3 linked regions of the Danio rerio genome follow. The protein of the gene in region 2 interacts with the protein of the main gene of each other region in a pairwise test. Links are inferred from orthologs where the notes say so. Each region holds a gene or a part of one and is shown on either strand. Other genes may lie near its edges. The genes, in order: lmna, tmpoa and lmnb2.

What was found.
Region 1: the proteins of tmpoa (region 2) and lmna interact in a two-hybrid assay, tested with the Homo sapiens proteins (2 studies listed by BioGRID, with this or other methods). The link is inferred for Danio rerio from reciprocal best matches to the Homo sapiens genes TMPO and LMNA.
Region 3: the proteins of tmpoa (region 2) and lmnb2 interact in a two-hybrid assay, tested with the Homo sapiens proteins (2 studies listed by BioGRID, with this or other methods). The link is inferred for Danio rerio from reciprocal best matches to the Homo sapiens genes TMPO and LMNB2.

Annotation. Positions count from the first base shown.
Region 1 is NC_133191.1:33,787,046-33,791,302, reverse strand, and holds the start of lmna (lamin), read left to right. Parts: upstream 1-1,445; 5' UTR 1,446-1,520; exon of another isoform or gene 1,521-1,853; intron 1,854-4,257.
Region 2 is NC_133179.1:17,461,724-17,465,869, reverse strand, and holds the start of tmpoa (thymopoietin a), read left to right. Parts: upstream 1-1,201; 5' UTR 1,202-1,259; coding exon 1,260-1,496; exon of another isoform or gene 1,497-4,146. Other genes in the region: strap (serine-threonine kinase receptor-associated protein), read left to right, coding at 16-77. UniProt on the Homo sapiens protein: May help direct the assembly of the nuclear lamina and thereby help maintain the structural organization of the nuclear envelope. Possible receptor for attachment of lamin filaments to the inner nuclear membrane.
Region 3 is NC_133197.1:3,269,329-3,272,983, reverse strand, and holds part of lmnb2 (lamin-B2), read left to right. Parts: intron 1-2,035; coding exon 2,036-2,172; intron 2,173-3,655. UniProt on the Homo sapiens protein: Lamins are intermediate filament proteins that assemble into a filamentous meshwork, and which constitute the major components of the nuclear lamina, a fibrous layer on the nucleoplasmic side of the inner nuclear membrane.

The sequences.
Region 1 (4,257 bases), on a different chromosome or scaffold from region 2:
CAGCTCTGAAAAAAGAGGTGAGTCTCTTCCACCATCTCTTCTTCACAGTCTGTAAGAACTGACAAAAAATATGTTAACCATATTGTTCTGTTTATGTAAAATGGGATGGGGGGGGGGGGGGGGGGGGTTGCTGGGCTTAGATGTATCTTTAAACTAATAATCCATGAGTTTTGGGGTGGCGAAGTGACGCAGCGGTTAGAGCTGTTGCTTCACAGCTAAAAGGTTGCTGGTTCGAGTGCCTGCTGGGTCAGTTGGCATTTCTGTGTGGAGTTTGCATGTTCTCCTATGTTCGCGTAGGTTTTCTCTGGGTTTTCCCCACAGGTTCAAAGACATGGGCTATAGATGAATCGGGTAAGCTTAATTGTCCGTAGTGTATGTGTGTGAATAAGTGTGTATGGATGTTTCCCAGGGATAGGTCTGCTGTGGCGACCACTGATTAATAAAGGGACTTAGGTGAAAAGTGAATGAATTAATGAATCCATGAGTTTTTTAAATAGACTGCCCATCTTAGCAAAACATTATTTGAAATATGTTTAATTATATCAATGTATTGGTAGTTAATGCTATCTAAATGTACAAAAAATATAGCCTACATGTTAATGGTTGTTAACAAAATGTGAAATATTATCTACTGCTCTTGCATTCAGCCCACAAATATTGCTGGTGCTGCACAACCAGAGGCTGCAGTTTCAGAATTACATTTCTAGGATCAAATATGGCCTTACCCCACCCCTATGCCTTAACCCAACCACCGCCTACTGGACGGATCAGGAAGAACAATTTCTAAAAATTCTAAGGGTGCTTGAATTGCTGTCCTAGAAATGCGTTTCAGTCTCTCTGGTTTACCAGGAACTATTTTGGCTGCTCTTCTGTGCCCAGCTATTTAGATTTAGAGTTAGCCGAAGCCTGCAGTCACTAGTAGCTACTGCTCTTTTGATTTGAGACACTCTTTAAAAAGTTGCTAAATGAAGCCAAATGAATGTTAAAAATAGCTAAATTTGTTGCTGGGTGCTTTTAGGGAAACAAGCTAGGGTATTATGACAAGTTGCTAAAAAGTTAGCAACCAGGGTTTTACAGGGTTTTGTCAATCAGACTTTCAGTTAAATAGTCTTGACCTAATGTTTCATGTAGCCAAATGTCTATGTGCTAAAAAAAATAAGAATAAGTTAGCAAATCTTACCTTTTGTTTGTTTTGATCAGAATCATGAGGATCTTTCACAGTCACTATAATGCTAAGAAAATAAGGCATATACATCAAGCTACTAAAATTTTCATTGCTATTCGTCAAGTTACTAAATGGGAGCCTGATAAAAATGTGTGATTTTTTTAATACTTCAGTCAAAATTCATTACCTGTGTATGTTTTTGTAGACCACGGTAAATTTCTGCGTTTCTATGTATCGGCCACTAGAGGACGCCGCACGATTCCATCATTCTGCTGCACTCACTGCTCTGCTAGTGTGCGGCGATGGTGGATCCATGACGCCTGCAAACAATTCCTGATTTTGGGCTTCGGCAACTGTGAGTCACTATTTCCCTGTCTGAATCTTTGGTCAAACATTTAATCTTCTGCGGTGGTTACTGTAGTCCGTAGCAACAGCATTTATGTCGTGTTTATAAATGGATAGATTTGTATGTTCATTCTCAATGCATGACTCAACAGTTTTAACAGCATAATTATTTCTCAAATATATCCTTGCTGATCCCAGGCAGTTCCCGTCTCTAGTCCTGAATTAGTCATTTTGGCATGCCTTAAATTATATACAATTTTGTAAAAAAAAAAAAAAAAAGAATAAAATTTGAAGGCTATACTCACAGTATTCTCAATCACATTAAGTATTCTATAAAAATTACATGCATGCCATGCTGCTGCTAATTATTAAATGTTGTTAGTTTTTTATAAAAAATATTCGTTTTTTTACCGCTACAATTACAGTTGAGGTTATAGTATTAAAAAGTAAAATGTAGCTTTTATTTGATATTTTTTTTAGTTTTCATTTTTTAAGTGTGGGCCTATTTGTTCTTTTGTATTTTTTTACTAATTTATTTTTAAGTTTTAGTAGTTTTAGTATTTAAAGTTCATTTAATACATATATTTTATTTAATAAAATATTTTATTGAAGTTTTTTTTATTTTCATTTTTATTAGTTGAAAGTTATTATATTTTATATATGAGCAATAGCAATTTTACACGAGTAGCAGTGTGATATGGCTGTATATCAGCACTGGTGGGAGCCGTGCGTAAACGTGTTTGCATGCTTTAGTGTTCCACTAGTGACAATAAACAGTCATATCGCACTGTTACTCGTGTGATAATGCGTTTATACAACAGTTTGACGGCATTATTGTGTTTAAAAAAGAAAATCAAACAGAGTCTAAAAATTCTTTTGAATGAGGAACTACTTTCTTTTACCATTCATTCACATCTGAAGCTGATGTCAAAACAGCAAAAACCATTGCTACTTCACCAACGTCACTTTAGAGCTAGTATTAGAATGATTCTCTAGAGTAATATCTAAAGTCAGGGGCCTGCAGGATTTTATTCAAAAGAACGCACATATCCAGCACCACCCTGCCCCATCATCCCTTATTCATATTTCAACCTGAAAAGCACTGGTGCTTGCTGTCAAACGCTATAGGCCTATTATTTAAGGGCATTTGTTACGAAACTGATAGGATCAAACTTATGTTTCCTGTTTATATATATATATATATATATATATATATATATATATATATATATATATATATATATATATATATATATATATATATATATATATATAATATATATATATATATATAAATATGTATATGATTTGCTTAAACACTCCCTCAACTGAACTTGCCGCGAGTGAGATTGAGAAAATGAAAGCACGTCCTTGTATCCTAATTTGAATACATTTTTTATTTGTTGGTTATCTACTAGATAAACAACAATAATAAATATTATCTGAGTGCTACAAAACCAGTTCACTATATGCTTCAGCGCCAAAACGCAAACTGATTTGTTAAATAAAATAATAATCTAGCCTAAATAAAATGAAAGTGAAATATTCACCGTTTCAGAGAAACCTATATTAAACTGTTTTCAGTATTATTTACAAAACCATCCATTGTGCCGGTCAATTTTAATTTAATTAGTTTAATCAAGCAGGTGATTTAAATAAGCAGGACAGGTATTTACAAGGCTATTCGCAGCAGCACTGAGGTGTTTCCAGATTGCCTCGGAAGAACAAACTCAGTTGGAAGGGTAAGAGAACTTAGAAACTCGTGAGAATGGGGATGTCTAAAGCCAAAAGATTTCTTTACCCATGTGCCATGCAAATAATATATATATATATATATATATATATATATATATATATATATATATATATATATATATATATATATATATATAGTATTTATATTCGTAGTTTATATTGTAATTACTTCTGTAAAATAAGTTCTTTTTAAATGTCTGGGTTAAAAAATAACATCTTTTATTATATATATCGGTTTTAGTAATTTTTGTACTTTAGCTACTTATTTTATTGCCGTTTTATTTACTATTATTTTATAATTTTTTTTGTACTTTGTATTTTTTTGTTTTAATCTGCCATGTTTACTGTAGTACATATAGCAGTGGCATTTTAGGGATGTTCATAGAGAAAGACAGAACGATTTGTATGTTCATTCCCAATGCATGACTCAACAGTTTTAACAGCATAGCATTTTACTCAAATAAATACAGTGATTTCAGGCTGTACTCATTTGTAGTCTTAAATTAATCACTGGGAATGATTTTAAGTGTTATATTAACAGTTAAATGCCATTACATTTGAAGTAATGTGAAAATGATTTAAACACTGTAATTCGGAGGTGTCACGAAATTCCTTTCTGGTTGGAACCTGTCATGTCTTGTAATTTGACACATACTGTATGTCCTAACATCTCCACCTTTCGACCACCAGTCTAGAGCACAAATCCACCTCATCTGCCTCAGCAAAATTTCCCAAATTCTCCCCAAAAAAATCTGCAGGTTGTTCCCCGAAATCACTGCACACAATGAACTTCTGATCGTGACTCCTGATTGTGACATAATCTGCTTTTAGTTGTCACAGATGTCAGAAATGCCACTCGGGTGGAGAGACATTTGCTCTAGGGAATCACATTGTTATGTGGGAATGCAGTGGTTGTGTGAGGTAATGCGACGAGAGAATGAGAAGAGAAAGTACAGAACTGATAGTGTTACTCGTCTAGCTGTCAGACGTCT
Region 2 (4,146 bases):
CACATTGTCTTACAGAGGAGCTGTCATCAGAGAACTCTGAAGCGCTTTACTGCCCTCCAGCAGAGATCAAGGCCTGAGTCAGGAAAAAGAGAGAGACAACGAGGCAAAGGAGGAAAGATCACGGGACAGGGAGAGGTCAGGGGACGGGACGGGTCAAGAAACCACACCCCAGCAGAGTGCTGTGCCACCACCCTTCTTCACTAGAGACAGACCGCGCTGCCAAGCATGACTTTTAAACGTGAAGATGAAACCCACACGTACGCATTGTGGAAAATCAGGAGACGGCGGTAGAGCTGAGAGTGCTAGTGCTAATGCTAATCCTCCAGCTGCCTGCTCTTTCTTTGATAGCCATGAAGCATCAGTCAGCTCCTTGGTATAAAAGCGGTCGGTTTCTGCAGCACTGTGATCACTTTGGTTGAGATTTACTTTTGTTTTGTTTTATTTTGGTGTTATAATGTGCTTTCAGTACAATTTGTTTGTTATCGCAAGAGCTCAGTGTTCAGTTTGAAAACATCTCTCAGCAGAAGTGCTTTTGAGGAACTTGCTATTCAAGTGTTTATCAATAGTAGTGTGAACTTGTGGTAAATGTTTTCCATGAGTGCTCGGGAAATTTGTAAAACTTTAAAGTGACTTAAGTTCTTTAATCGTTTTGTCTTTGGTTGCAACATATGTTGTATCATTTGGCCAATAAAATGTTGTACCTTTATCATCTGGAATATTTCTCTTTATTTGTGTATGTCTAGATCAGTCACATATGAGTTGTATCTTAAGGTGATACAGTTCACCAAAAAATGACAATTCTGTCTCAAAATCAGCTTAGAATTGGACATCTTTTCAAAATGTCTTGTTTTAAACCCAAAGGAAGATATTTTGAAGAATGGTGGAAACCAGTATGCATTGAATTTCCTATTTGCCTCCAAAATTCTTTAAAATACATTATATTGTATTAATTCTTTAGATGAATTGTCACTTTTATATCGTATTGTTTACTTCCTCAATGAAGCAGCTGTTAAGTAGTTTAATTTTTAGTCTTATTCTTAATTATTGTTCTTTCTACTCGTTATGCGAAGTGAATCTCCTATAAACAAGAGGTCGAACTCGTCTATTTATCGCCAGTGATTTTAAATAGTCCACCCGCCAATCAGAAGGCTCCTTTCTGCGGCGCGCATCCAATAGGGGTCTCTCTCCTAAGGTGGTCACTGATCCCATAAAAGAAATCAGCCCCAGGCAGCGATAGTGTCCTGCTGGAACCAACAGACATGTCGGAATTTCTGGAAGACCCGTCCGTGCTTACTAAAGACAAGCTTAAAAGTGCATTGCTGGCCAATAATGTTGCTCTCCCGAACGGCGATCAGCGAAAGGACGTGTACGTGCAGCTGTACTTAAAGAATCTGACCGTGCAAAACAAAAAAAGTAGCGGCTCTCCAGATGTCTTTTCCAGCGACGAGGAGCTTCCTCCAGCGCCCGTGGTCTCCAACAGGAGCCGCTCCGGCAGGGTGGGTTGTTTGGAGATGCTTGCTTTGTTTTAGCTACACATGGATTGTGAATCAGATGTGGTTGACGTAATTCGCAGGTTGAATTGTTATTATTTTTATCAAGGCATGTATCTTTTAAAAGCCTGTTTGTTTGGTAAAAGTTGAGAGGTTGGTATTATTAAGTTTATTGTTGTAAGTGTGTAGTGTGAGCCTGCACATGTCTCGCAAATGAAAACAAACCGGCATGGCGAACTTTTTTACTATGGTGTCCGGTTTGTGAACGAATCGTTACTTTTCACTTGAATCATTTCAGTGAATCACTTAACGTCGGTTTGAACGATTCCTTCAAATAAATGTGGTTTGTGCTTTGTGCTATGCTTGAATGAGATTTACAGTTGTGAACCTCAATTTTTACTTTAATGAGTACTATTAAAATAGATACATAATATTATAGTCGAGGACTTGTTTTGCTCTTGATGTTTAATGAATACACATTATATTAAAATTATATATGCTTAATCCGTGCAACTAAGGCTAATGGAAATATTATAAACTACCCATAATATAATCAAACACTTTGAATGCTTATTGCTATAATATGTTGCTACTGGATGTCAGGAAATGCAGTTCCATTAATGAGTCAAAATTTGAAATGAATTGTTCAAAAGAACCGATTCCTATTCGTCGAACATCCTATTACTCATTACCCTGCGACAGTTTCCCGCTTAAATGACTTGGCCTGATTCATTGCATTACTAATAATAGTTCAAAAGCCATAACTCCATCTGGCAAATTCATAAATGCATGACTTTGTAGGGATTATTAAGTATTCTAAATGAAAGTGCACTGCTTTGTGTAATCTTTTACACATCTGATTAAGGTGTTGCCATTGAGAAGATGTAAAAGCCCAAATTTGAATGAGAAATATGGGAAGATTAATAACCTATAAATTAAAATCCAGCGAACTAAGCCTTGAGATGGCTTCTTGAGTTTTGTTAAATCAATGAAACATCTGGGTAAACACTTAGAGAAGTGGGAGTTTTCCTCCCTTCACTTGTATTTGCTGCTATTTCATAAACCAATAGTCTGTAGTTTTGGATTGTTCTAGTGCATGCCTGGTGCTTTTTTCTTCACCTTTTTCTATCAGATGTAATTTTATGTCTGTTGACGCTGTTATTAAGCGGGAATACTACAAGTTTGTAGTTGGTTCTGTTTTTATAACCAACCTGATAAGCTCACTCCCCCACCCCTGCAACTACACAGGAGTCCTTTTATGTTTTACAGAGATGTTTGATGTTAAGGGCACCTCCAGTGCTCGTGAATGAGATAGTGCTGCCTGTCATTCTAAAATCTTCCCGCACAGCATTTTACTCCCATTAACTCTCTCTCTCTTTCTTTCTCTCTTCATCTATATAGTCTGGCAATAGGTTTTTCTTTAGGAATAAAACCCTTTAGAGTATGTGATTTATCAAGGTTGAAATCCATTCGTAAGGTAGATCTCTTAAATTAAGACTCAAGAGTTTTCAGTGTTTTAGATGACTGTTTATACTTTGTGCATTTATTTATCATTTGTTTAAATATTTCTTCATTTACTGTTAGTCTTTTTATAAATCACAATTATTATTTTATTTTCTTATTTTGTGTGTTATGATACAAACTATGATAATAATAACAATACTATGCAGCCCTATAGACCCCATATTAAAAGCTTTGAGCAGATAGCTGCAGGTCTAGGAGCTGTAGAATAATTCAAGAACTGCACAAGGCTGTTTTTATAGTGGGTTTGGTCCCTTTATTGAGGAAATAGATTCTTGTGTGAAGGAATTCATATGTTGGCTGCCAGATGTGTGTGTGTTGCATTCCTCTTTGAAGCTCCTGTGTCTGAGATAGTAATTTCAGAAACATTCGACACGCACTCACAGTCACATTTCTGGGATGTTTTGTTGTGCACGGTTTAGAATTTGCAACAATCGTGACCTATAAAGATGATTGATTTGATTATGTCATCACTGCATAGTGAGAGTTATGAGAGTTGTTGTGTTCAAATAAAACGGGTCTTGAAGCTCTGATGCAAAAGCCATAATTGGGCAAATTGTGGTTAACCAAAAACATCATGCTGCTTTTATTGCTAATTTCCAAAGCGATGACATTTAGTATTGAAGCATGTGTGTGTAACGGCATATGCTAAGCCACAGGACTGAAGGTCAGAAAAAAACTTATCGCTTATCGCAAACCAGCAATGTCAGAAAAGCAAAAGTTTGCTCTGAAACTTTATGCTAAATCCAAAATTTTTTATTTGTAGCTTAGAAATGTAATATTCTTTAAATTCGTAAGTAATTTTGGATGTTGAAATATGTTCTCAGACTTGTAAACAAGCAGCATTTGGTAATGTTTTTGTTATTGGGGTTATAGTAAAATAATTTAGTAAATAGTTTAGTTTTTATTTAATACAGTAACTGAATAATCAAATGTAATGAATGTCTTCAGTGGAGTGCGTAAAACACATGAAATTAAAGAGAAGGTAAAGAGACCCGATTGGAGGAGGCTCGTTCTTTATCCTCGCGCTGCAGGGGGTCTGTTTAACTGTTTTCTCATTAGTGAAGTGTTCAGATTTTCTACTTACAAAGTAAGCCATGCAAATAGCAAACGCACCATGGCTAGACGCAACTGA
Region 3 (3,655 bases), on a different chromosome or scaffold from region 2:
TTAATAAGCATGTTGTTTAATTTTGACAAAATTACATGTTACAATGAATAACAACATAACTATTTAATCCACAGTTTGACGTTTAAATTTTCTGTCCAGATAAAGTAAGCTTACTAATGCAGACGCCAGAATGAGATGTCTGCTCTTCATATTAAACTAATTCTATAGACCACTGGTCACCAAACTTGTTCCTGCAGGGCCGGTGTCCTGCAGATTTTAGCTCCAACCCTAATCAAACACACCTGAACAAGCTAATCAAGGTCTTACTAGGTATACTTGAAACATCCAGGCAGGTGTGTTGAGGCAAGTTGGAGCTAAACCCTGCAGGGACACCGGCCCTCCAGGACAGAGATATAGACTAATGAAACTAAATCTATTTATTTGACTTTTTTTTTTTTTTTTTTTTTTTTTTATGTTTCTGATATAACCGCTGCATAGTGTTAGCATCCTGAACGCATCATGATAGGGCTGCACCTTATTGGAAAAATCAGACGTTGCCATATTTTTGTTTTGCTATGATTAGATATTGTGAAATGAATAAAATTTCACCAGATGAATTAAATACAGCTCCATTTGGAAAGATTTCATCAATTACATTGACTGGGGATGATTGATGATTTTTCTTTGCAGTGCATCTACATGCAATATAAGAAATTACAAGCACATAAACATGCACAAATACAATAAAAAATAAATAAATAGCGCATTATGGTTTATTAAGAAATTAAACAATCAAACGTAAAATGACAAGGCATGGGATGATAACCGGTTACAAGGTTTACCGCAGTTTGGAAAAGTCAAGGGTTTTAAAACCACCAAAGTTCTCTGTTATACCATTCCTAAGATATATGTACGTTTTTTTTTATATTATTATTATTATTATATACTTTTTTACATGTTTTTCACAACTATTTTATTGAGTTTTTTTAGGGCAACAGTATCTCGATCAGAAAAGGAACCTCTACATCAAAAGCTTCTGTTCCAAAATATTTTTAATGTTTGTTAAAATAAAATATGTGCAATATAATATGTAATATTATTGGGTATTTGAGGTAAAAGTTGCTGTTTTTTTACCCAGACATTTGACAATAACTTATTTGAAAGCAGAAATCCCAATACTGTGATATTTGTTATTCAAGGTTATCATACCGTCAGAATCTCATACCGGCCCATGCCTATGCACGATATTTGGTAAAACTGACATTGACATATTTAGTTTTGCTGCGATTTTAAATAGCGATACGAATATAATTGCACAAGATGAATTAAATATAGCTTTAGTTAGAAGGATTTCATTCATTCAATTGCAGGGATTATGGATTTTGCAATGCTGTGCATCTGCATGATAAATATTATAAATTACAAACATGTTTAAAAATGATAAAAGTTCAGTAAATGGTGCTTTACGGTTTTCTTGGGAGTCTAAAAGTATTGAACTATAGAAATTGAACTATCAAAATGTAAATGACATGGTTATTGTATAAATAATTGCATACAATAATATCTTCATACTTTCATCTTTTAATAAATAATCAAATCCTGCGATGTGACTTTTGGATAGATCTGCAAAATTTAGGCTTTGCAAAATTTACAAATCGCTAGTAGCCTTTCGGGCAGGCACGCTTCAGATTTTGGTAGCCCGAAATAAATTCAAATGGCTTAAATAGAAAGGATATTTACTGAATAAAAACAAAAGTGTTTACTTAAATAAAAAAATATATAATGGCATTCACTATAGGCTTTTTTGACAATAACCACATTTGATTTATATATTGTTAAAGCATTGAAATGGCCTATATTTTTCCTCCTATTAAGATAGTCCAATGGGCAGAGTAGATCAATTTTTGTTAGCCGACTGGAAAACATTATAGCCCCTGGACACCAGGCTAGCAGTTTTGCGAGCGCTGCATTGAGATATTGATATAATGTTCAGCCCTACTGCATGATCTTCAGTTTGCTGCAGTTTCTCCAGGATCTGTCATGTTTGTCATCATGCTAATCTGTCTGTCTGTGTGTGTGTTTGTGTGTGTTTAAGGTGTCTGGGATCAAGTCTCTATATGAGGCTGAACTGGCCGATGCTCGCCGTGTGCTGGACGAAACGGCTCGCGAGCGCGCTAAACTTCAGATCGAGCTGGGAAAAGTCAACTCTGAGCTTGAGGAGGTCACGCGCAAGTGAGCATCGCACAATAATACATCATTTTAGCCAGTCATGTGACTCAGAAATCGCCTGTTGGCTTTATTATCCCAGTCTTTTAATTACCCATAAGGCTTTAAGTCACTGGTGGTCTTTCCACTTAAGTCGGGCTTACTTAACCTGACTTTAAATCCCACCCCATCTGCTGCTGCCGCGGATAAAGCGGTCGTAGCGAAATCCTGCTCAGGTTTAACTTGTTGCAGTTTGCATCACATCTCGTTGCTAATCAACACACAAACAGGAAGTCTGTTGCTAAGCGCTCTGACTGTGGGCGACTGTGTAAACCACATCATCATACAAACCTGAGGTTGGCACACGCCTCTGCGCTCAAGGGGATTTTTATTTGAGTTTTGAGCACATCTGAGAGTCTTAAAGAGACAGTACACCTAAAAATTAAAGTGTACTCTGATTTTATGTTAAATGAGATAGTTTGAAGAATGTTGAGGGAATAAAAGCAGCCATTTGACATCCATAGTTGTTTGTTTTGATCACGACTGAGAGTCTTAAAGGGACAGTACACCTAAACAATAAAATGTGCTGTTTTTGTTGATATTCTGTATGAATAATGTTGGGGAAAAAGCAACCATTGACATACATGGTAGTTTTTATTTTAAGAAACAGTGCATCTAAAAATTAATTGACTGTTTATGTTGAATAGGATATTTTTAAGAATGTTATGGAAAAGTACCCACGCACCTCCATGGTAGTTTTTAGCACATCTGAGGATCTTAAAGGGGCAGTGCACCTAAAATTTTTAAAATATACTAAATTTTTATATTTAAATAAGATAGTTTGTTTTTTTAGCACAACTAAACAATCTTAAAGGGACAGTGCACCTAAAAATTTTATCACGCTCAGTTTTTGTTAAGATAATCTGAAGAATTTTGGAAAAAAGCAGCCATTGACCTCTATAGTAGTTTTTTTTAGCACAACTGAAAATCTTAAAGGGACAGTGCACCTAAACATTAGAATATACTCATAAATAAAAGCAGCCATTGACATCCATTGTAGGACTTAGGCCTATCACAATAATCCCTATATCGACACAACATATGGACATGACCTCAATCATTTTTGGTGATCGGCCATGCATAAAAATACAATTCTAGCAATATTTTAACTGATTGTGCAACATCTCTATCTCTATTGCAGGTGTCAGTGTCAGTATGGTTAAAACACTATAGTATTTACTATAAATTACTGTAGTATATTTTCAGGACTTTTTGAAACTTTGACATTATTTTCACTTTTTTTTTTAGTAATGTTGTTAAAGGAGGCATCTGTTGTAGATTTTGGGGTCTGTGAAAAACTTTTGTTTTTGGTATTAATTAAAGACCATCCCGCGTTTTCTCAAATTTACATCTGAAAACCTGCAATTAGAGCTGCACAATTAATCGAAAAAAGATCACGATCTCGAGTCGTCCCCCTAAACGATCTTAATCCAGCATTTCTACGACTCTG